3 linked regions of the Lonchura striata genome follow. The protein of the gene in region 1 purifies or fractionates together with the protein of each later gene. This does not show direct contact. Links are inferred from orthologs where the notes say so. Each region holds a gene or a part of one and is shown on either strand. Other genes may lie near its edges.

Evidence for each region.
Region 2: the proteins of OTUD1 (region 1) and FLNC purify together in Homo sapiens (affinity purification with mass spectrometry; 3 studies listed by BioGRID and IntAct, with this or other methods). This does not show direct contact. The link is inferred for Lonchura striata from reciprocal best matches to the Homo sapiens genes OTUD1 and FLNC.
Region 3: the proteins of OTUD1 (region 1) and FLNA purify together in Homo sapiens (affinity purification with mass spectrometry; 3 studies listed by BioGRID and IntAct, with this or other methods). This does not show direct contact. The link is inferred for Lonchura striata from reciprocal best matches to the Homo sapiens genes OTUD1 and FLNA.

The regions. Positions count from the first base shown.
Region 1 is NC_134603.1:139,207,347-139,215,016, forward strand, and holds the start of OTUD1 (OTU domain-containing protein 1), read left to right. Parts: upstream 1-4,170; 5' UTR 4,171-4,181; coding exon 4,182-5,453; 3' UTR 5,454-7,670. UniProt on the Homo sapiens protein: Deubiquitinating enzyme that specifically hydrolyzes 'Lys-63'-linked polyubiquitin to monoubiquitin.
Region 2 is NC_134607.1:73,108,439-73,116,608, forward strand, and holds the start of FLNC (filamin-C), read left to right. Parts: upstream 1-4,815; 5' UTR 4,816-5,595; coding exon 5,596-5,932; intron 5,933-7,684; coding exon 7,685-7,933; intron 7,934-8,122; coding exon 8,123-8,170. Other genes in the region: OPN1SW (short-wave-sensitive opsin 1), read right to left, coding at 147-489.
Region 3 is NC_134638.1:1,279,739-1,287,969, reverse strand, and holds the start of FLNA (filamin-A), read left to right. Parts: upstream 1-4,876; coding exon 4,877-5,219; intron 5,220-8,231. UniProt on the Homo sapiens protein: Promotes orthogonal branching of actin filaments and links actin filaments to membrane glycoproteins. Anchors various transmembrane proteins to the actin cytoskeleton and serves as a scaffold for a wide range of cytoplasmic signaling proteins.

The sequences.
Region 1 (7,670 bases):
GCAACAGAGGATGAAATTGATGTTTTGTTCAGTATGTTCCTTCTAGTTGAAGTGTATAGGCATTTCTTCCCTGTATTGGAAGATTCTTGACATATTTTTCTATTTTCTAATAATTTACAAATTTTTTTCCTTGGTATACCACTTCAGATTATTAATATAAATTCAACATTTCATCTCCCAGCTACATACAAAAAGTTATTAATTCATGAAATACTTCAGTCAGAAATATATTTATCTGAAGGGCTGTTATGTCAGCACAAACAAAAACAAAACAAAAAAAAAATGGAAAGGCTAATTCAGTGTAATTCTCTACATAATTTTAACCAACTTCTTTCTTCACTAGCAAATGTTCCTGGTGATGTAATTAATTTGTTTCTTCTATGTCAATCATGTATCTACTACACATTAAAGTTAAAATTAGTTCTACTCTCATGCATTTCATTTTACGTCAGTGAATACCACTGTTGTTCCACAGCTGTTTTTGTGATTGTGGTTTGCCTTCTAAACAATCTAAACTATTCCTGGAATGTGCAGGGTAACCAGTGATAACAGTAATGTCAAGAGAAACTTTAACCACGGGAGATGTTTATACTTTATTACTGCAGAGATTGTTTTGAGATCTATTCTGTAAGAGCAAAGAACTTTACATTACCCTGTAATGAGTGAATCAGAAGCTCAGGAATATTACTCTGTGGAAAACAGTGAAGGGTATGTCCGTAGTGTGTTCTCCTCACTTTCCAAACACCTCTAGTGCTCGTGTGCCCATGACCTATGGGGAAAAGTGGACAGAAGTTGGAAATACAGGAGTTTTCTGGAAGTAACCGATACATGGGTTGTGTTTTAGCTGGGTCATATTAAAGGAAAATTTAGTTTTTTGTTGGAATTAACAGCAGTGCTACATGTAGCTGAAAGAAATGTTAAAGATCAATATTCTGGTAGTAAAAGGTACCAAAGTCAGAACCATGTGCCCCTGGCTTTTATAGAGACCTATTGCATTAAAGGCATTCAGATATTTTTTTGAAATTTCTATTTCACCAGAATTGTACTCATAGCACTTGATCATTCCCGGTCCTGCACCTGATGGTGGTGGATGTCCTTCCATGCAGGTGTTCAAGGCCAGGTTTTGAACAACCTGGTCTAGCAGAATGTGACCAGGAGCTAGATGATCTTTGAGATTCCTTCCAATCCAGGCCATTCTGTGATTACTCCCTGGTGTAGACCATGGTTTAGGATGTTATTGTTAAAACCTGTCAGATATCTAAGAAAATTACCTTTAGGAAGTGCTGATTCCTGGTAACTCCTAGTATGAGAGTTGAAAGCTAACCATGAGATGCTTGTGTGGCAGAGGCTCAATGGGATTTTTGTCACTGGTCATCCAGAGAGACTGGATTCCCCTCTGGCCAAGAATGTGTGACTAATTCTGGCTGCTCAGTTATGAAAAATGTTGATTGCATTACATTGTCAGTACTTAATAACAACACAGGTAAAACACACCAAGGTGAGCTTCTCTTTCCATTTACTTCACACAGGACATAATAAAGATATCAAAAGTAGTATACTATTAACATCAAGGCAGTGGTTACAATGTTTGTTTTTCTCTCTGTTACCTAGCAACAGATCTTGTTTGTATTTTAAGGTTATTAGTAAGCTTATTATGTGCATTTTAACTGAAAATTTAGGAAAGACATTATGTCTGCTTATAAGCAAAAATTGAAAAAAAGAAAATCTATCTGCTACCATTACAAAAACCTGCTGGCATATTTAGCATGTATTTCAGGATATTCTTTGGATTTCTATTCAGATAAACAAGTTTTCTTACCCAGAATCTTCTACATTAGAGCATCAGAATACTAGTACAAGGGTAATTTGGGCATAAAAAAAACTATTTCTCTCCTCAAATGAAGCACCACAAACTTCAAGTCATACCTCACTGTAACCAACAATCAGAATTAAGCAGCTGCCCACCCACTAATGTACCACTGTTCCAAATAACCTATGGTTTTGGAGAGGCAGAACAGTCATTAGCAGGAGTTTCTATATCCTAGAAGAAAGAAATTTGCAGTACTGAGCATTCAAAATGCAGCACTTGCTCCTGCTAGAAGTGCTCTTAGTCTGCTGCATCCATTTACTGTTCTGTAAGAGAAAGAGCTGCCTCTCCCTCCCCTCTCTCTGTTACCAGACTATTGAAGACTTTAAACCACCACCCTGTACTCAGCTCTGACATTTACTAGCAGACAGAACATTCACTAAACCAAACTACAGATAGCTTTTCTGAAAAAAAAAAAAAATGTAGCAAAAAACTGGCAGCATTGATATACATTTTACATCTTGATAAATGACCAAACACACAATGAAGAGCAACTGGCATGTTTTAAACCCACTTGGAAGGGGCAATTTCCAGTAGTTTTACATTAAATCTCCTATCAGTATATATATCAGCATATACATGTGAACTTGGAATATAGACATTGCCAAGTTTTGACTAAGAAATAAAACTAGACAAGAATCTTTCCTTTGCTCCAAGCCTCCATTTCAAGAAGGAAAGATTTCAATTTACTGCTATTTGGTCAATATATATTCCCCTCTAAGTAATGATTAGTCCAGAAATAAAGACTCACTGACTGGGCTCACAAACTATATTTAAAACAAAGTTCTGAACATTCTGAAATACAAGAGTCACCCTGTAATTTCAGAGCAGTTGTAATATCTTATCCCACTCTAACAGGCTGCCAGAAATGCTCCTGGATAAGGCCCATCACCATTTGTTCTAAAGATATCAACTTTTTGGCTGGCTCTGTCAGGTAACTGAGGACATTTGAACTTTGATTCATTATCAGATATACTTCTTACATTTCAGCTTTGAAGGCAAAAATTTTGGATATGTATTTAATCTGTAAAATTTTACAAAAAAGTTCTCAATATTGAATGCAATAAACTGCTGTGTCTTATCCATAACAAAAAAGATAAATATGAAAACATTTCCCATAAATATCCACATAACTTTGTATGAAGGATTTGAGCATTTTTTCTCCAATATGCAATTTAGCTGAGTGAGTCATAATATGTTTTCCATGTAAAGAGAATGAAATTCCATATTGTGTTACTGGTTGCCCTGGAATTAACTGCAGAGACCGAGGATAGGAAGTATATCCCTAAACATTGATACAAAATACAACCAAAGCTCCAAAGAAAATGATTTTGGATATTGCAGTATATTGCAACTGATCTTCTTATTCTGCCTTTTTAATTAATGGAATTAAATGGAACGAGGAAAAGAAACTTTTCAGAATATCCAAATAAAGGTTTTTTTTTTGTTGTTGTTTATTTGTTTTTAGAGTTGTACAATCTGTTTGGATTACTAAAACTTTCCTGAAGATACATGAGGCTGTGAGATGGAATCCAGAACTGTTTTTAAGTTATCACTTTGAACTTACATATGTCAATACCTTTTTTCCCATTTTGTTAGGAATGACTGTCTGTATTAGCATGTGATCATAGTGCAAACTGGTGTTTCTTGGTCAGCATGCCAGTCAGAACGCAGTCAAAATGGAGAGCGTACAGATGTCATCATTGTCCCTGGACAAAGGCTTTATGACTTTTTTTATACCGCAGCTAAGGCTAGAAGACATGGCTTAATTTTAAAGTGCTACTACCGGCGTTAATAAAACAATTATCAATGTTCTTGATGAGACCCATGTTCCAGAGCGTGTGTCTCCTGTTAACATGTGCCGGTTTATACCACGCACCTTTGCATGCATGTACTGCATTTCCCAGGGTGAGACTGCAGGTGGGCAAACAGCAGCCAGCGCCCAGAGCTGTCCCAGACGGAATGGATGCAATGACTTCTGTCCGTGCCCGCCCCGCAGAGCAGGAGCCGTGACACCGAGCACACGTAGGCCGGGGCAGGGCGGCGCTCGCTGACGTGCGGGCAGCCCCGCCTCCCTCCGCGCTCCCGCAGCTTCCAGAAGGGCCGGAGCCGCGGGGGGGCCGCGCCGGTGGCGCAGTCGGAATTGCTGCGGCCGCGGGGCCCGGCCGGGGCGGGGCGGGCGGTGATGCCCTTGTTTATTTTTACTCGGGCGGTTCATCCTCCTCGGCAGCCCCAGCGCGGCCCCCGCCGCCGCTCCCCGCCCCGGCTGCGACGGCGGCGCCGCCTATAAAGCGCCGCCCGCGGGGAGCCGAGGATGCAGCTCTACAGCTCCGTGATCACCCACTACCCGGCGGCCGCCACCGCAGCAGCCGCCGCGGCCTCGCCGAGCTCCGCCGCCGTCTTCAAGGTCTCCTTGTCGCCGGGACCCTCCGCCGCGGAGGCACCGAGCGCCGCCGACGCCGCGGGCCCGAACGCGGTCGCTGAGAGCTCCGGCAAGGAGAGCTTCGTTCCCGCGGGGGGCAGCAGCAGCGCCGCCGCCATGCCCGCCTTCTCGTCCTGCCTGGAGGTGATGCCGAGCGGCCCCGCGGCGGGGCCGGCCGGGCGGCCGGCGGGCGGCCCGCAGTTCAGCTCCTGCGCGCAGGTCACCGTCAGCCGCCGGCGGCCGCTGGAGCGGATCGTGCCCATCCGCATCGTGCAGCGCGCCGAGGCCGCCGCGGAGCTGGTGCCGGGCTCGCCGCGCAGCCGCGCCTGGCTGGAGGGCATCCTGGAGAGCGTGCGGCAGGCCGGGGGCGACGGCGAGGCGGCGGAGGAGCCCAGCAACCGCAGCCTGCGGCTCAGCGAGCACTGCCAGGCGCTGCAGGCGGCGGCCGCCGGCGCCCAGCCCGGGCTGGTTCCCGGCTGCGGCCCCGCGGAGCGGAGCGGCGGCCCCGCGCACGCCGAGCAGGAGGAGGCGGCGGGGCCCGACGTGCGGCGGGCGCCCGGCGGCAGAGCGGAGCGCAGCGAGAAGCTGGCGCTGTACCTGGCCGAGGTGGAGAAGCAGGACAAGTACCTGCGGCAGAAGGGCCGGTTCCGCTTCCACATCATCCCCGACGGGAACTGCCTGTACCGCGCCGTCTGCAAGGCGGTGTACGGGGACCAGCGGCTGCACGGCGAGCTCCGCGAGCAGACCGTGCACTACATCGCCGACCACCTGGACCACTTCAACCCCATCATCGAGGGCGACGTGGGAGAGTTCCTCATCGCCGCCGCGCAGGACGGGGCCTGGGCCGGCTACCCGGAGCTGCTGGCCATGGGGCAGATGCTGAACGTGAACATCCACCTGACCACGGGCGGCCGGCCCGAGAGCCCCACCGTTTCCACCATGGTTCACTACCTGGGGCCCGAGGACCCGACGCGGCCCAGTATCTGGCTGAGCTGGCTTAGCAATGGGCACTACGATGCTGTGCTGGACCGCGTGTGCCCCAACCCAGAGTACGAGGCGTGGTGCAGACAGACTCAGGTACAGCGCAGGCGGGACGAGGAGCTGGCCAAGTCCATGGCGGTGTCCTTGTCCAAGATGTACATTGAGCAGAATGCCTGCTCATGAGACCGCCTGGGCCGGGAGCTTCGCTGCAGGGACTGACAGAGAGGTGTGCTCGCTGTGATGGTGATGCCTTAATCCTTAATGAAGCAGCAGCACCCCAGACGGACAAAGACTGTAGGTTGCGGGGGGATAAATACAGACGTAGTTGTAATATTCTGTTGTAAAAACTTAGCCTCGGGTTATTTGCAAGCAGATTTCTCCGTGTATGTTTGTGTCTCCCCTCCCCACTGTCTGTTTTCTATGAGAATGTATTTTTTGCACACTATTTTTAAACTGTTACCTCCATCTTCTACATCTTGCATTAGTATCTGGCTTTCAGCTGTACAGCCAAAAACGTTTGTAAACAGTTTTTGTAAATAAGGCTTATGATGTAACAGCTATTTTTTGCTGTGTTTTTTACCCATAAACTTTATATTTTTACCAAATGAAGTTGATGTCAAACTGACCCCCCTAGTTGATGAAAATGTGTTTTTAAAAGTGCGGCAAAATGAGAACAGACTGCTTTTAGGAACAATTGCTTTCTCTGCCTGGAGCACAGAATAGGTCCTTTGAGCCAGTTGGAATGCAGCTACACGTGAACAGTGCAGGGAGCAATTGACTCTTCTGTTTTTAATTACTGTTTTGAGTAGACTGGCCTCTTGTTGCCTGGTTGGCTCACTCTCTGCTCCACTTACATTATTTATCTATAATAACAGAACATTAACTTGCAATAGAATGTTGTGACTAGATAATAGTCTCCTGCTTTGGCAGTAATTGCCGTGGCTGCACCTCAGTGTTTGTGTTCTTGTTTCTGGGGCTATGGTGTCTTTCGTATAAGCCCTGCTTCTTTTTTGGCACTGGTGTTTCACCAACAAGTCATTATCTGATCACAACATTTTATTCACGTGACTTTATTTTCTAATCAAGAAATCAGGAATGGTATTCTACATTATGGTTTAAAAGAAAAAAAATACTTAAATTGAGGTTTGTATGGTTTGCTGGGTCAAACATTTAAATGTCTCCAATCTGGATTCTGTCTCTTCTACTTTCTGATTAACTTGTTAGATATATTTATTAAGTAATGCAGTTTGTACTTTTTTATTTTGTAATATATTGTGATTTCGGAATTTATACTGTATTTGTATAATAGGAATATTCACAGCTAAAATGGAATGAATAAAGAATATAATTTTACTTGTGCTCTTCTTTTCTGCCCTGTGCATTCCTGGTGTGGGGAAGAATTGCGGGTGGGTTCACAGGATCTTTTATAGCTTCTCTGCCTTAGTCTCTCCTACTGAGAGGTGGGAAGAAGGGGTGTGGTACTTTACAGATGTAAACCACTGATAATTCTGGTGTCTGTTAATATGTGAAAGAAATGCAGGCATTTAAAGACAATTAAATATCTAATTATTTTCTTACTGCAAGAGATCTTAGTATATGTGTTTGCTAGTGAGAAACCATTTCCTATATTAATATGCCTTAGAAGGGGAATTCTCAGGCATAGTTTGTGAGCTCGTGGTGCCAGGGTTGGTGGTGAGCCAGCTCTGCTGGCCTGTGCACACGTGGGCTTGGACATTGGTCTTTGGGAACCTCCATTCTGCAGTTAGCCCCAAACTTGCTCGAGGTTTGTCCTGTCAGTAGTGATACCTTGGCACCCTCTTGTTACTCAAACACAGTAATGTTACAGGGAGGTACAGCTTTCTACTCCCCTTGCAAGATGGAAATGCCTTCCAGGTTGTTTAAACATGTTTAGAAAAGTGCACGTGTGTTTACAAATCAGTCCCTGATCTCAAAATGGTAAAACGTCTTCATCCTTAAACAACAGAAGGGTACTAAAGTTATGATTAAAAAGTAACTAAATAGCTGAAATGCATCAGTCTTAGTTGAGCACCTGTGATAGATCTGCGGGACTGATGTATATAATTATTACTGGTTTATGTGGTACAAAGAGTAGATTTAAATATTATGTTATTTTCAAAGCATTGGTAAATAGAATATTTTTATTTAATAGAGTATGTAAACAGTGGTGGAAAACCCCCAGTCTTTCTAGTCCACTGCTGCTTAACCCATGAATCTTCGGAAAGCTGAATTTTGAGGTGAGAGCATGGCAAAGATGCAGTCATGGATCTGTTCATAAGGAACAGAGGTAGTTTATAGGGAAAATGTCTATTCACATGACTAAAAATAAAGATATTAATACAGCATTACTAAACGTCAATGATGTGCTGACTAATTAAAAAC
Region 2 (8,170 bases), on another chromosome or scaffold:
ATCTGAGCCCTACCAGACCTTGGTGGTCACCCCAACTCCCACGGCCCCAGGAGATCACTGTGGCCACCTCTGGCCCCAGTAGCCCCCAGTGGTCGCTCCATCGTCTCTGGCCACAGCAGCCTGAGCGCCCCATGGTCCCCTCGTACCTCCGGTGGCCCCTGCAAAGCCCTCAAAGGCACACATGTGCTTCCCGAAGACAAAGTATCCCTGGGAGCTGGCGATGAAGACGGTGAAGATGCAGAAGACGCAGCACATGAGGCCGGCAACGGAGATGTTCACCAGGATGTAGTTGAGCGGCTGCCGCAGCTTCTTGTACTTGATGGTGACGATGAGGACGATGGCGTTCAGGGGGGTGCCCGCCACGAACACCAAGCCCATGAAGATGGTCTGCAGGTAGAAGGCCCACACGGGCGCGATGTGGTACTGGGGCCCATCCCAGGGCCCCACCGACGACTGGTTCTTGAACAGGTAGAACTCTTCCTCGTCCATGGTGGCGCTGGCGGGGGGGGCGCCCACCCCCCTGATATACCCTGCGCCCCCAAAGCTGCTTAGGGGGGATCAGGGCTCAGCCCGGCCAAACTTGGGGATTAGGGTGGGCTAAACCGGGCTCAGCCCCTAATCGGGCCCCTGAGCCGGGTGAGCCGATTGCTGGTGCTCTGGAGGATTGGGGGGGGGGGGGGGGGGGCAGAAGGGCTCCCCCCAACATCTGGGTATGGGGAGGGTCCCCAGGGGGCTCCAAGCTTGATCCTGCTCCTCCTGAGGTGTTCAGGTGTCCCCAGGTGTTCCCAAGCCCAAGGCTTGGTCCCCAGCCTTAGTTCTGATCCCACCAGGGTCCTCAGTGTGCCCCAGGGGGTCCCCAAGCTGTGTCCTGGTCACCCCCAGAATGGCCAGGTGCCCCTAGGATCCCCAGGGGTCCCCAGGTGCTCCAGCCTTGATCCCACTCCCCCAGGGTGCCGCAGCCCTGGATGCTTTGGGAAGAACTTGGAGTTTCCTCATGAACTCACCCGCTGCCCCCCACCCCAGCACCCCAGGGTGCCCCCCAGGTGTCTCCCCTCTCAAGCAATTGTCCCCAGTTCTGGGCTTGGGGCATCCCTGTGCTGGGGAGACTCCAAGTGAGGTGTAGGAGTCTGGGGGTATCAAGGGGTGGGGGGAAGACTGGGGGGGCACTGCTTGAGGTGGGGTGTCTGAGAGGGGGTGTTCATTTTGGGGGTGCAGTGACAGGGGGTCATGGATGGGGGGTCACTTTGGGGGTGTGCTGCTGGGACTTGAGTCCCAGAAGACTCCCAGCGTTTCCTGCCCTCCCACCCCCCTCTTTCCCTCCCTCAGCCTGTGGCACCCCCGGGGAACAGGAAGGATGAACAGAAGCTGCTTAGGGAGGGATTACAGTGCCCCCCCGGGCTGGGGGCGCCTATAAAGGCTGGTGCAGGGACCTCACTGTGGCACCCCGGGACCCCCAGGGAAGGGGGATCTCATTTGTGGGGAGGGGGACACCCTCAGGGAACGCTGTGCCCTGAGTGTGTGGGGGGTGCCCACCCTGGGGTGTCCTGGGGCACCCTGAGCTTCTGTCCAGCTCTGGGTCAGAGATGGGGCCAGGGAAGGAACAGGGGGATTGGCTGGGCTGAACCCCCAGCCCATGTTTTACTGGGCTGTACTGGATCATACTGGCCTGTACTGTACTGGTTTGTACTGGGCTGTACTGGACTACATTGGGCTGTACTGCACTGTATTGTGCCATGGCATTGCACTGTGCCCTGTTGGGTTGTACTGGGTTTGGTCATACTGTACCAGGCTCTACCGGGCCGTACTGGGCTGTACTGGGCCGTACCGGGTAGGGTCAGCTCTGCTGGTGCTCTACTAGGCGTCCCATGGAGGGGCACCCCCAAATGGGTGCTCCAGGGTGGTGTCCCAGGGTGGTGCCCCAGGGTGGTGACCCAGGGGACAGACACCCCACAAAGGGTCCCCCCGCTGTGTCCCCTGTGGAGCCGCGGCCACTGTGGGCACTGTGGGCTGCGGAGAGGGCTACAGCGCAGGGGCTGTGGGGGACGGCAGAGCTGGGGCACGACGGAGCTGTCAGCCTCGGCAGGGGCTGCCCGGGGGGGTTTGGGGTGCCCATCCCCACAGGTGTCCAAGGGAGGCCTGGAGGTGGCACCCAGGGTTCCGGGACAAGGAGAAGTCAGGCACAGCTTGGACTCCATGGCCGGGAGGGCTTTTCCAGCCTCAGGGGCTCTGTGGTTCTGTGATTCTGGGATTGTGGATGGAGCAGGGAAGGGACTTGGGGGATGCTGGGCATGGAGCTCCGGGGCCTGCAGTGGTGGTACTGCCCTGCCAGGACCCCCCACACCACCAGTGCCCACCACCAAGCCCCCAGCACCCACTGGTACCGGCAGCACCACCTCCACACGGGACCCATGGCCCCCCAGGCCCCCCAGTGCTCTGTCTCCAGCCCCATGGCCCCCGTGGGACTCCTAGGGCCTCCAAGTCGCTGCTCTTGTGCCCTCCTGGATGTGGCCCCACACATGTCCCTGCTGTCCCCATGGCCACGTTACCTGTGTCCCACTGTCCATGTACCCCTCGTTCTCGTGTCCCTTATGTCCCTCAGCCCTGGCCCCATGTCCCCATGGCCACGTCCCCAGTGCCCCCCTCTTCCCCTCTCTGTGCCCCCAGGCTGCCGATGACCCCCTCCCCATGTCACCCCACCCTGAGGACCCTGAGTGCTTCCAGCCCCAGTGTCCCAAGGAAACAGCTGGGGACAGGCTGGGGGGACGCTGGACTCAGGATGTCACCACGGGCAGCAGTGTTTCTGCCCTGTGTCCCCTCCCCAGGAGACACTGGCGGGGTCAGGTCCTTTGTCCCCTCGTGGCCTCCACCGTCATCTTCCTCTGCCCTGGCTGTGGCAGAGCCGAGACCCTGGGGGACACTGGGATCCCCCTGGGTCCCCCTGACCTGCCCCAGCAGCATCCTGAAACCCCATCCTGGAGTGCACTGACCCCCCCGCAGTGCCCTGACTGCTCAGAGCCCCCTGGACCACCCTCGACCTCCCCAAACATCCTGACCCCCCCAACCCACTCGCTCCCCTTCCCACACCTGCCAAGGGCTTGGGGGTCCTGGTGAGGGACCCTGTCGCGTTTTGCCCCCACCCCTGTTGGTGCCCCCCCGGCCCCTGCCCCAGGTATTTTGGGTGATGATGTGTTGGGGGCGCCCCCCCGCGTGCCCCCCCGGGTATTTTGGGTGCCGGTGCGTGGCTCTGACTCGGCAGGTTATTTTTAGGTGTTGGCGCAGGCGCCACCGCGTCACCCCCCCCACGTCACCCCCCCACGTCACCCCTTGTCACCCGTTGTCACCCCGGGGTGCACCCGCACCGCCCCCCCTTCCCTTGGAAGCTTCCAGGCAGGCACCGGAACAGGGGGAACACGATACTCCCCAAATCGCCCCCCCAAAGGACCCAGATGTGGGTCACCCGAGTGTCCCCCTGCCCCTCCCAAGGGAGCTGAGGAGGCCGCGGGTGTCTGGAAAGGGGGGAGGGGCACAAGAGAGATTTGGGGGGCAGAGGGGTTTAGGGTGCACCCCAAATATGACCGAACCCCCTCCCCAGGCTTGTGCCATTGTCATGGGGAAACTGAGGCATGGCCAGGGGGACCCACGGCTGGAGTCACCGGAGGGAGTGGGGTGCAACCGAGGGGACTGGGTGGGGGTTCCATGGCAAGAGTGGTCCTGGGGGGGGGGCTTCCCCAGAGGGGATCCTGGGAGGGTTTGTGGGATCTCAGTTGTGCCCCTCGGGGCTGGGGGAGAGTTTTTATGTGTTTTTCAGGGGTTCCCAAGGGGAAAGGGATGAGTGAGGGGGTTCGAGTAAGTTTTGGGGGCGTCTTTGGGGGGGTTTTGGGATGCGTTGTGCTGTGGGGTGCCTGGGATGTTTGGGAATTAAGGTACAGGTGTATCAGGATAACAGGGTGTTGGGCTGCCTGGGCTATAGGGTGCTGAGGTTTTGGGGTGTCGAGGTTGCAGGTATTTGGGATTATTATGGGTGGATTCTGGATTTTGGGGGGCCAGAGTTTCAGGGGTGTCTGGGTGCTGGGATTTGAGGTACCAGGGTTTCAGTGTAGGGAGGCTGGGGTGCCTGGGGGCCGAGGTTTGGGGGTGCTGAGGTTTGAGGGTGCCAAAGTTTAGGCGTGCCGTGGTTCAGCGTGCAAAGTTTGGGGGTGCCAGTGTCTGGGGGCAGGGGGTTCTGAGGTGGCAGAGTTTAGGAGTTTATGACACTGGACTTCAGGGAATTCGGGGAGTTTTGGGGTGTTGGGGTGCCAGCGTTTGGGAGTTGGTGGGTGCTGGCGTTTTGGGGTGCTTGTGTTGGTGAGTGTCGGTGTTTTGGTGGGCCGGCGTTTGAGGTTACAGCGGTTTTAGGGATGTCAGAGATTTTGGGGTGCTGATGTCTGTGCGTTTTTGGAACTGCCACTGTTTGGGGGTTTTGGGAGTGCCGCGGTTTGGGGGAGCTTTGGCCCGGGAGTCCTGAAGTCGGGGGGCTCCGGGGTGTGCTGGGATCCGGCGTTTTGGGAGGTGCCGAATTCCGGGGTTTTGGGGGTGCCGGAGTCCGGGGGTCCGAGGTTTGGGGAGCGCCGAAGTCCGGCGGTCTTGGGGGTGCCGGTGTCTGGGGCTCCGGGAGTGAGGCCGGGGCTGTAAATAGCGACGGCCGGACCCCCCACCCCCGGCCGCTCGGGCGGTCTTTCCGTCCCTCCTGCTCGGTCCCTCCCCGGGACGGGGCGGGCCGGGCCGGGGCAGCGCTTAAAGCCGCCGCCGCCCCCGGCCCCGCCACTTGCCGCCGTCGCCCCTGGCCCAGGAGCGCTCCTGGGACGCCTCGCGAACACACGGGAGCCCGCCGCGAACGCCGCTCCGGGAACTAATCGGGAACCGACCCGGGAACCTACCGGACCCCCCAGCCCTCCGGGACCCGCCGCTCCGCTCCGGGAACGCACCGGGAACCAACCCCACCACCGGGAACTTGCACCGGGACGGACCCAGGACACCAGCCCCCGACCCCGGGAACAGGAAACCCTAGCCAGGACACCAGTACCGAGCAGCGAACCCCTCTCGGGACACCGGCACTGAGACGGGACCCCGTCCTCAGGCACCCGTCCTGACCCCGGGGACCGGGACCCTCCCTGGGCGCCGGGACTGACCGAGGACACCGTCCCCCATCGCCGGGAACTGGGACCCCATCCAGGACACAGACACCCACCCAGGAACCGGGACCGACCCAGGACTGAATCTCCCAGCACCGGGACCCCATAGCGGGCACCAGCACCCACCCAGGGCCCCGCCCGGGACACCAGCTCTGACCCAGGACACCGTCCCCAACCCAGGACATTGTCCCCCAGCGCCAGCTTTGCCACCGGGACCCAGAACCCCACCCCAGGCATCCACAGGACACCGGCACCGCCTTGGGACCCACACCCACGGTGCCAGGATCCCTTCAGGACACTGGGACTGACCCACGACCCCCGCCCAGCACCAGAAGTGAGCCAGGGCTCCCCCCCAACCCTCTCAGGACTCTCCACACCACCCAGGAACCCCTCTGCCCATCGAGGACCCACCGAGCCCTCCAGGATGAACTCTACTTACGAGGCAGCACCGGGAGAGGACCCCGAGGAGCTCCCGGCCACCGAGAAGGACCTTGCAGAGGACGCGCCCTGGAAGAAGATCCAGCAGAACACGTTCACGCGCTGGTGCAATGAGCACCTCAAGTGTGTGCAGAAGCGCATCGTGGACCTGCAGCGCGACCTGAGCGACGGGCTGCGCCTCATCGCGCTGCTCGAGGTGCTCAGCCAGAAGAAGATGGGGCGCAAGCACCACCCGCGCCCCAACTTCCGCCAGATGAAGCTGGAGAATGTCTCGGTGGCCCTCGAGTTCTTGGAGCGGGAGCACATCAAGCTCGTGTCCATCGGTGGGTGTGCAAGGGAAGCGGTGTCCGTGGGTGGGTGGGCACAGGGCGGGTGAGGGTGGAAGGGGAATGGGAACGGTGCTGGAGGGTGGAAGGGGAATGGGAACGGTGCTGGAGGGTGGAAGGGGAATGGGAATGGTGCTGGAGGGTGGAAGAGGAATGGGAACGGTGCTGGAGGGTAGAAGGGGAATGGGAACGGTGAGCGGGCAAGGGCAGGGCCAATGGACAAATGGGAATGAGGAATGAGTGTGTAAGGGTGGGCATGATGTGGGGATGGGAAATTGAGGGAGAGTATACGAGGGTAGGGGTGGACAAGTGAGGATGTGGATGAGTGTGTAAAGGGAGGGGAGGGATGGGTGTGAATAGGGTGAGAGTGCAAGGGTGGGGAGTGGAGGAGTGTGAGTGGAGAATGACTGTGCAAGGAGCATGATGGACAAATGAGGATGGGGCCGTGGGTGAGTGTGCAAGGGTAGGGTGATGGATGAATGGGAATGAAGGATGTGTGCAAGAGTGAGGCCGACGGACAGATGAGAATGGGGATGCATGTGCAAGCGGTGGGGTGGCAGGAGCAGGAGCGGGATGAGCGTGCGAGAGCGGTGCAGCAGTGGGAATGGGGTGAGCGTGCAAGGCTGGCGGGGCTGCGGGCGAGTGTGCAAGGGGTGAGTGTGCGGGGGCGGCGCGGTCTGCGGGCCGACCCTCGCAGGGCGTGCGGAGCGGGGGGGCCCGGCCCGTGCAGGGCCGCGCAGGGGGGCTGAGCTCACGCTTGGCTCGGGGCCGCGGCGCTGAGCTCACGCGCGGGGGGGCCCGGCCCGCACACGCACCCACCCCTCGCGGGGCCTCAGCGCCCACCCCCACCCGACAGCTGCAGGGTGACCCCCCCCGCGCACACGTCCGTGCGCGGCCCCCCTGGCACGCCCGGACCCGGGGGGTGCGAGACCCCCTCCCGCGGTGTCGCCGCCCCCTCCCACGCGCGTCTTTGCCCCCTCTCGGGACGCCCCCAGATGTGACCCCAAGTTTTGGGGAGCTCCCAGGTGCTGCCCCCCCGGAGCACCCGGCGGGGAGGGGTTTGTCCCTCCATCTCCCCCATTTCCTCCCTGAAACGCGATCGCTCGTGGGGGGAAGTGGCGGGGGAAGGAGCGGGGGAGGGTCAGCTCCGCAGGGCGGTGGGGGAGGGACCGGGATGCCTCGGACCCCCCTCCCCCCACAGCCGTCCCCTGCCTCAGTGTCCCCCTTCTGGCACTCCAGGAATCCCTTGGGAAGGTCAGGGGTGTGGCACTCCAGGGCGCTCCCTTGGGGACCCCGGCTGCTGCCAGGGTTGTGCCCCCCCAGGCACTTCCCGGGGGTGCTGGGTCCCCGCAGGGTGAAGTGCTCGGCATGGACAGGGCGCAGTGTCGTGGGTCATCCCTCGCTTCTGTGCCCCGGGGTGTCCCCAGGCAGGTGTTGGGGTGCAGCGTCCCATGGCACCGCCTGGGGTGTCGGGGTGCCCCGAGACGGGTGCTGGGGTCCGCCCGTTGTGCCGTGGGATGTCGGGGTGTAGGGGTCCCTGTGGTGGTGCTGTGGGGTTTGGGGGTGCCCCAGCCGAGTCCCCCCATTATCCCCATTCCCAGAGACAGCCGGGACACGACCCTGAAGCTGATCCCGGGGCCACAGCTGTGCAGGTGCGAGGATCCCTCCAGCGGGTCCCAGGATGTCGGGGTACCCCGGGGGGAGTCCCGAGGGATCTCGGGGTTCAGCCTCCCCGTTTCTCCCCCACAGACAGCAAAGCAATCGTGGACGGGAACCTGAAGCTGATCCTGGGGCTGATCTGGACACTCATCCTGCACTATTCCATCTCCATGCCTATGTGGGAGGAAGAGGAGGACGACGAAGGCCGCCACCAGACCCCCAAGCAGCGGCTGCTGGGCTGGATCCAGCACAAGGTGCCGCAGCTGCCCATCACCAACTTCAACCGTGACTGGCGCGACGGGAAAGCGCTGGGAGCGCTGGTGGACAACTGCGCCCCGGGTGAGGAGCGCGGCGGGGCGGGGGCGTGGGGGGACAGATGGGGGGAGAACTGCGCCCCGAGTGAGGGTACGAGGTGCAGGCTGGCTCGGGGGGCACCGATGGAGATGTTGGGGGCAGCAGGCGCAGAAGGGGGAGGTGGAGGACGGGGGTCAGGACAGGGGTGCGCCCCTGACCCTTCTGGCCCTCCAGGTCTGTGCCCAGACTGGGAGAAGTGGGACCCCAACAAGCCGGTGCAGA
Region 3 (8,231 bases), on another chromosome or scaffold:
CCCCGTGACACCCTGTGGATCCCCCATGACACCCTATGGATCCCCTGTGACACCCTATGGGATCCCCCGTGACACCCTATGGATCCCCTGTGACACCCTATGGATCCCCTGTGACACCCTATGGGATCCCCTGTGACACCCTATGGATCCCCAGTGACACCCTATGGATCCCCTGTGACACCCTGTGGGATCCCCCGTGACACCCTATGGGATCCCCAGTGACACCCTATGGATCCCCTGTGACACCCTATGGATCCCCTGTGACACCCTATGGGATCCCCCGTGACACCCTATGGATCCCCTGTGACACCCTATGGATCCCCTGTGACACCCTATGGGATCCCCAGTGACACCCTATGGATCCCCTGTGACACCCTATGGGATCCCCCGTGACACCCTGTGGATCCCCCGTGACACCCTATGGGATCCCCCGTGACACCCTGTGGATCCCCCGTGACACCCTATGGATCCCCTGTGACACCCTATGGATCCCCTGTGACACCCTGTGGGATCCCCTGTGACACCCTGTGGGATCTTGGGGGTCCCTCGTGCCCCACAGCCCCTTCCCCATGGTCCCCCCTGCCCTATGGAGCCCCTCATGGACCCCCAGGGAGCCCACCCCCCACTTTGGGGTCCCCCTGACCCCCCGACCCCAAAGTGCCCCCATAACCCCCCCCACCCTATGGGTCCCCCCCACCCTATGGGTCCCCCCCACCCTATGGGTCCCCAGAACCCCTCCCCCCATCCTCGCCCCGCCCAAATCCCACCCCAGGGGGGTCCCCGGACCCCTCCTCATCCTCACCCCAAAAATCCCCCATAGCCCCCCCTTTTGGGGTCCCCATAAATTCCCCCCTCCCCAAATCCCCCCCAAATCCCCTCCCCACCCCAAGAGCCCCCCGGATCCCCCCCAAATCCGCCCCTCCCCTTTTATGGGCTCCCCAAACCCCCCGGGTGCCCCCCAGCCCCTCCCCAACCCCCCCCCGCAGTCCCCAGAGCCCCCCATGGGGGACCCCCCGACCCCTCCCCACCCCAAGAGCCCCCCCAAACCCGCCCCTCCCCCTTGATGGGCTCCCCAAATCCCCCCTCCCCCCTTTTAGGGGTCCCCGGGCCCCCCCCAGCCCCTCCCCGGCCCCCCCGGCCCCCCCCGGGGCGGGGCTCGCTCCTCTCGTTACCAATTAAGGCTCCGCGCGCGCCGCGCGAGCCCCCGGTACCGGCACCGCCACCGCGCGGGGCCACCGAGCCCTCCCCGGGACCGCCGAACCATCCCCGGGACCACCGAGCCATCCCCGGGACCACCGAGCCCTTCCCGGGACCGCCGAGCCCTTCCCCGGGACCACCGAACCATCCCCGGGACCACCGAGCCCTTCCCCGGGACCACCGAGCCCTTCCCGGGACCACCGAGCCCTTCCCGGGACCGCCGAACCATCCCCGGGACCACCGAGCCCTCCCCGGGACCACCGAACCATCCCCGGGACCGCCGAACCCTCCCCGGGACCGCCGAGCCATCCCCGGGACCACCGAGCCCTTCCCGGGACCACCGAGCCCTTCCCGGGACCACCGAGCCCTCCCCGGGACCACCGAGCCCTTCCCGGGACCACCGAGCCCTTCCCGGGACCGCCGAGCCCTCCCCGGGACCGCCGAACCATCCCCGGGACCACCGATCCCTTCCCAGGACCACCGAACCATCCCCGGGACCGCCGAACCATCCCCGGGACCACCGAGCCCTTCCCGGGACCGCCAATCCCTTCCCGGGACCTCCGAACCCTTCCCCGGGACCACCGATCCCTTCCCGGGACCTCCGATCCCTTCCCCGGGACCGACACCGGCACCGCTCGGATCCGCCCCGGGACCGCCGGGTCCCGAGCCCCGAGGACCACCGAGACCGAGCAGCAGGTGAGGAGCCCCCGGGACCCCCGAGCCCCCCTCAAGCCCCGGGGACCACCGGGGCCGCCGGAGCAGCGGGACCGGCACCCCTGGGTGGCGCCGACCCCCCCGGTCCCGACCCCTGACCCCCGGGACCCCCGGGACCCCCGGGAACCGAGCCCAGAGCCCCGAGTAGCCCCGGGACCCCCGCCAGGATCGCGGGGTTTGGGGGGGCTTTGGGTGGGCGGGGGGCGCGAGGGGGACCCCGAGTTTGGGGCTCCCCCGATTGGGGCTGGGGGACCCCCCAAGGTGTGACCCCGATTTTGGGGTCCGAGACCCCCTTGAGAGCCCCCTGGGGGCGCGTTTTGAGGGAACCCCTAAAATGGAGCTGGGGACCCCCAAATGGGGCTGGGGGAACGCCATAACGGGGGACCCCGATTTTGGGGGACCCCCTTGAGAGACCCCTGGGGGTGCTTTGGGGGCTGGGGACCCCCTAATGGGCTTGGGGTACCCCTCTGAATGGGACCCCCCCCCCCCTTTTTTGGGGGGGTCTGAGGAGCCCAGAGTGGCTGGGCCCCCCTTTTTGGGGTGGGGGTCCCCACTTGGGGCCACCTTTGGGGTCCGGGGGACCCCGGGAATGGGAAGGGGGCAACAGGGTGGGGACCCTCCCCTGACCCCCCCAATCTGGGGCCAATGGGGCAGAGCCGGGGGTCACCCCAAATTGGGGCACCCCTAAATGTTGGGGGAGTTTGGGGAGGGTCTCTCATTGTGGGGGTCCCATCATTATTGGGGTCCCCCATTATTAGGGTTTCTTCTTGTGGGCATCCCCCATTTATTGGGGGTACCTCATTATTGGGGTCCCTCCTTTTGGGGGTGCCCAGGTGAAGATGCTCATGGGGTCCCCCACTCTGGGATTCCCCCATTATGGGGATCCCCCATTATTGGGGTCCGTCATTACAGGGATCCCCCATTATGGGGGTACCCCATTATTGGGGTCCCCTGATTGTGGGGTCCCTTACTCCAGGGATTTCCCCATTGTGGGATCCCTTCATTTTGGGGGTCCCTCACTATGGGATCCCCTCCTTGTGGGGTTCCCTCGGTAATGGGATCCCTCATTTTGAGGGTCCCCCATTATTGGGATCCCCCGTTTTGGGCTCCCCCATTATCAGGATCCCTCGTTATTGGGGTTCCCCATTGTAGGATCCCCCATTCCGGATCTGCCCGGCTGCCACATCCCCCATTATTAGGATCCCCCCATTATTAGGATCCCCCCATTATTAGGAACCCCCTTTTTGGGATCGCCCGGTTTGGGCTCCCCCATTATCGCAATCCCCCATTATAAGGACCCCCCATTCTGGGCACCCTAATTTGGGCTCTCCCCCATTATTAGGGCCCCTCATTATGGGGTCCCTCATTATTGGGGTCACCCGTTATTAGGGTCTCCCGTTTTGGGGTCCCCCATTACGCACTGCCCCATTATTGCGATCCCCCATTATTAGCACCCCTCATTATTAGCATCCCCCTTTATTAGGATCCCTCCTTTTGGGATCCCCCCTTATCGGGATCCCCCATTTTGGGGATCTCCCATTATCAGGATTCTCGTTATTAGCATCCCCCATTTTGGGGATCCCCGTTATCCGGATTCCCATTAGTAACATCCTCCATTTTGGGGATCCCCGTTATCCGGATCCCCGTTATCAAGATTCCCGTTATCAGCCTCCCCCATTTTGGGGATCCCCGTTATCAGGATCCCCGTTATCAGGATTACCACTAGTAGCATCCCCCATTTTGGCGATCCCCGATCAGGATTCCCGTTATTCGCATTCCCCATTTTGGGGATCCCCGTTATCAGGGTCCCCGTTATCAGGATTCCCGTTATTCGCATCCCCCATTTGGGGATCCCTGTTATCAGGATTCCCGTTATCTGGATCCCCGTTGTCAGCACCCCCATTTTTGGGGATCCCCGTTATCAGCACCCCCATTTTGGGGATTCCCGTTATCAGGATCCCCGTTATGTGGATCCCCGTTATCAGCACCCCCATTTTTGGGGATCCCCGTTATCAGCACCCCCATTTTGAGGATCCCCGTTATCCGGACCCCCGTTACCAGCACCCCCGTTACCAGCACCCCCATTTTGGGGATCCCCGTTATCCGGATCCCCGTTATCAGAACCCCCGTTACCAGCACCCCCATTTGGGCATCCCCGTTATCCGGATCCCCGTTATCCGGATCCCCGTTATCAGGATCCCCGTTATCAGCACCCCCATTTGGGGATCCCCGCTCTCCGGACCCCCGTTACCAGCACCCCCGTTATCCGGATCCCCGTTATCAGCACCCCCATTATCCGGATCCCCGTTATCAGCATCCCCATTATCCGTATCCCTGCTCTCCGGATCCCCGTTATCCGTATCCCCGTTGTCCGGATCCCCGTTACCAGCACCCCCGTTATCAGCACCCCCATTTGGGGATCCCCGCTCTCCGGATCCCCGTTATCCAGATCCCCGTTATCCGGATCCCCGTTACCAGCACCCCCATTTGAGGATCCCCGCTCTCCGGATCCCCGTTACCAGCACCCCCGTTACCAACACCCCCGTTACCAACACCCCCGTTACCAGCACCCCCGTTATCAGCACCCCCATTTTGAGGATCCCCGTTATCAGCATCCCCGTTATCCGTATCCCCGCTCTCCGGATCCCCGTTATCCGTATTCCCGTTACCAGCACCCCCATTTTGAGTATCCCCGTTACCAGCACCCCCGTTACCAGCACCCCCGTTACCAGCACCCCCGTTACCAGCATCCCCGTTATCCGGATCCCCGTTATCCGTATCCCCGTTACCAGCACCCCCATTTTGAGTATCCCCGTTTCCAGCACCCCCGTTACCCGCACCCCCTTTGGTCCCCCCCGTCCCCGCGCTGCCCCCTTACCCCGCTCTCCAGCTCCGGTTTCTCACCGCCCCTCCCCTCCCTCCCTCCCTCCGTCCCTCCCCGCAGCCGCCCCGGGCCGGCCCCGCGATGAGCGCGCCGGGCGGGCGGGGCCGCGCGGAGCCGGGAGCGGAGCCCGAGATGCCGGCCACCGAGAAGGACCTGGCGGAGGACGCGCCCTGGAAGCGCATCCAGCAGAACACCTTCACCCGCTGGTGCAACGAGCACCTCAAATGCGTCCAGAAGCGCGTGGGCAACCTGCAGACCGACCTGGGCGACGGGCTGCGCCTCATCGCGCTGCTCGAGGTGCTCAGCCAGAAGCAGATGGGCCGCAAGTACAACGCGCGCCCCACCTTCCGCCAGATGCAGCTGGAGAACGTCTCGGTGGCCCTGGAGTTCCTGGAGAGGGAGAACATCAAGCTGGTGTCCATCGGTGAGAACCTCCGGGGCGGCGAGCGGGGCTGGCCGGGCGGCGAGCGGGGCGGCCCCGGGGGCGAGCGGGGCTGCGGAGGAGTTGGGGTTTTGGGGGGGGGGATGAGATTCCAGTGGTTAGTTTGGTGAGGAAAGGGTGGAAATGGGTCGGGAAAGGGTCAGAAATTGGGGAGGGGGCGTGAGAACAACCCCCAACTGCCCCCGGAAAGTTTTGGGGGTTGGGGAGGGGGTGGGGGCTGCGGAGGAGTTGGGAATTTGGGGGTGGGGATGAGATTCCAGTGGTTAGTTTGGTGAGGAAAGGGTGGAAATGGGTCAGAAATTGGGGAGGGGGCGTGAGAGCAACCCCCAACCCCCCCCCCTCCCCCCCCGGAAAGTTTTGGGGGTTGGGGAGGGGGTGTGGGAGTTAGTGAAGAGCTGGAATTTTGGGGGGGGGGTGAGATTCCAGTGGTTAATTTGGTGAGGAAAGGCTGGAAATGGGTCGGGAAAGGGTCAGAAATTGGGGAGGGGGCGTGAGAGCAACCCCCGGAAAGTTTTGGGGGTTGGGGAGGGGGTGTGGGAGTTAGTGAAGAGCTGGAATTTTGGGAGGGGGGGTGAGATTCCAGTGGTTAGTTTGGTGAGGAAAGGGTGGAAATGGGTCAGAAATTGGGGAGGGGGCGTGAGAGCAACCCCCAACCCCCCCCGGAAAGTTTTGGGGGTTGGGGAGGGGGTGTGGGATTTAGTGAGGAGCTGGAATTTTGGGGGGGGAAATGAGATTCCAGTGGCTAATTTGGTGAGGAAAGGGTGGAAATGGGTCGAGAAAAGGTCAGAAATTGGGGAGGGGGCGTGAGAGCAACCCCCAACCCCCCCCGGAAAGTTTTGAAAGTTTTGGGGGGGTGTGGGAGTTAGGGACGAGTTGGGATTTTTGGGGGGAAAATGAGATTGGAGTGGATTATTTGGTGAGGAAAAGGTGGAAAAGGGTCAGAAATTGAGGAGGGGGCGTGCGACCACCCCCCCCCCCTCCCGGAAATTTTTGGGGGTGGGGGGGTGTGGGAGTTAGTGAGGAGTCGGAATTTTGGAGTTTTGGATGAAAAAAGGAGGTTGAAATGGTGAGGAAAGGCTGGAAACGTCTCAGAAGAGGGTCAGAAATTGGGGAGGGGGCGTGCGACCACCCCCCAAAAAAGTTCAGGCCGTGGGGAGGAAGCGGGAGTTGGATTTTTTTGGGGAGAAAAAAAGGCAGAAATTAGATTTTTAGGGTTTTTTTGATAAAATGGTGGTGGATTCGCCCTAAAAGGGTCTCGGAAATTGGGGAGGGGGCGTGCGACCACCCCCCAAAAAGAGCGTGGAGCTCGGGGTGGGGCCATGGGGGGAGTGGCAGTTACGGAGCGTTGAAATTTTTTTGGGGAAAAAAAAGGAAATCTGAGCGATTTGTGGTGGTGGGGAGGGGGCAAAAATACCCCCGGAAGGATGTCAGGAATTGGGGGAGGGGTCGTGCGACCACCCCCCAAAAAACCTCCGAGGGGGTTCGGGGCGGGATGGGGGGAAACGGGAATTGTGGAGAAAATCGGATTTTGGGGGGAAAAAGGGAGATGGGAGCGGTTTGTGTTGCTGAAAAAGTGGAGAATTCTCCCCAAAACGGGCTCGGGAATTTGGGGAGGGGGCTCCTGGAGGAGCCGCGGGGGCTCTGAAATTTGGGGAGGGGTCCGCTGGGGGACCCCCCGGCCGGCGGAGGAAGGGGAGGGGTCCCTGCGAGAGGAGGAGCGGGGCGGGGCCGGGTGGGGAAAAAGCGGCGAATTCTCCCCAAAATGGGGCCGGGAATTTGGGGAGGGGGCTCCTGGAGGACCCCCAGAAATGGGGGGGGGGGCAACTGGGAGACCCCCAGAGCCCAAAATGGGGAGGGGTCTCTGCGGAAGGGAAGCTCGGACTGGTTTTAATGGTGAGGAGGGGGCGGGACCCCGACCCCAAAAGGCCCCGGAAATTGGGGAGGGGTCGTGGACGAGCCCAGAAATTGGGGGGGGGTCCCGCTCCCAAAAATGGGGAGGGGTCTCCAAGAGGGGGAGCATCCAACTGGTCCCAATTGGGGAGACCCCTCCCCAAAAAACACCCCGAAATTGGGGGGGGGGGTCCTGGAGAGGGCAAACCCCCTTCGATAATTTGGGGGGGGGTCTCAGGGGGCGCAGAGACCCCTCCCCAAATAACCCCAGAGTGATGGGGAGGGTCCTGAGACCCCTCCCCTTTATGAGACCCCCCCCGGGAATATTTTGGGGACCCCCCCCCACATTTAGGGCGGGGCTTTGGAGGCTCCTCCCCCCCCAAATCCCACCCTGGGGGGGGGGCTCCGTTTGAGACCCCCCCCCAAATTTGGGACACGCCCCTAAATTAGACCCCCCCCCAATTTGCGACCCCCCCCCCCCCACATTTGGGACCCCAAAATTAAAGGGGGAAGGTCCTGGAGACCCCTCCCCTCTTAGGGGGGCTCCCCCTTTTACAGGGCCCTGTTTGGGACCCCCTCCCCAATTTAGGGTCCCCCCTCCCCAATTTTGGACCCCCCCCCCAATTTAGGCTCCCCCCTCCCCCAATTTGGGGCGACCCCAAAATTAAGGGGGGGTGGGGGATGGGGGGGTCCGGCCCCTCCTCCCAGCGCAGGAATTTGGGGAGGGGGCGCCGCTCGCGGGGCTCGGGGGGGTCCCGAGGGGGTCCCGGGGGTCTCGGGGGGTCCCGGCGGTTTTTTGGGGAGGGGTCCCGGGGGGGTGGGGCTGGGGGCGGGGCCTCGGCTGTGGCCGAGCCCTTATAAGGCCAAAAAATGCTGGAGCGGGGGGGGAGGGGCCGCGGCCCTTCCCCCACCGGCCCCGCCCCTCCCCCTCCCCCCAAAATCCGCCCCCAACCCCCCCCGGGAGGGGGCGGGGCCGGGCGGGGCCCCTCCCCCCCAAAAACCGCGCGAGGGGGGCGGGGAGCGGGGCTGACCCCGGGGGGATTTGGGGACCCCCGGGAAGGGACCCCAAAAACGGGAATGGGGACGGGGCGCGGCTGAGAGCCC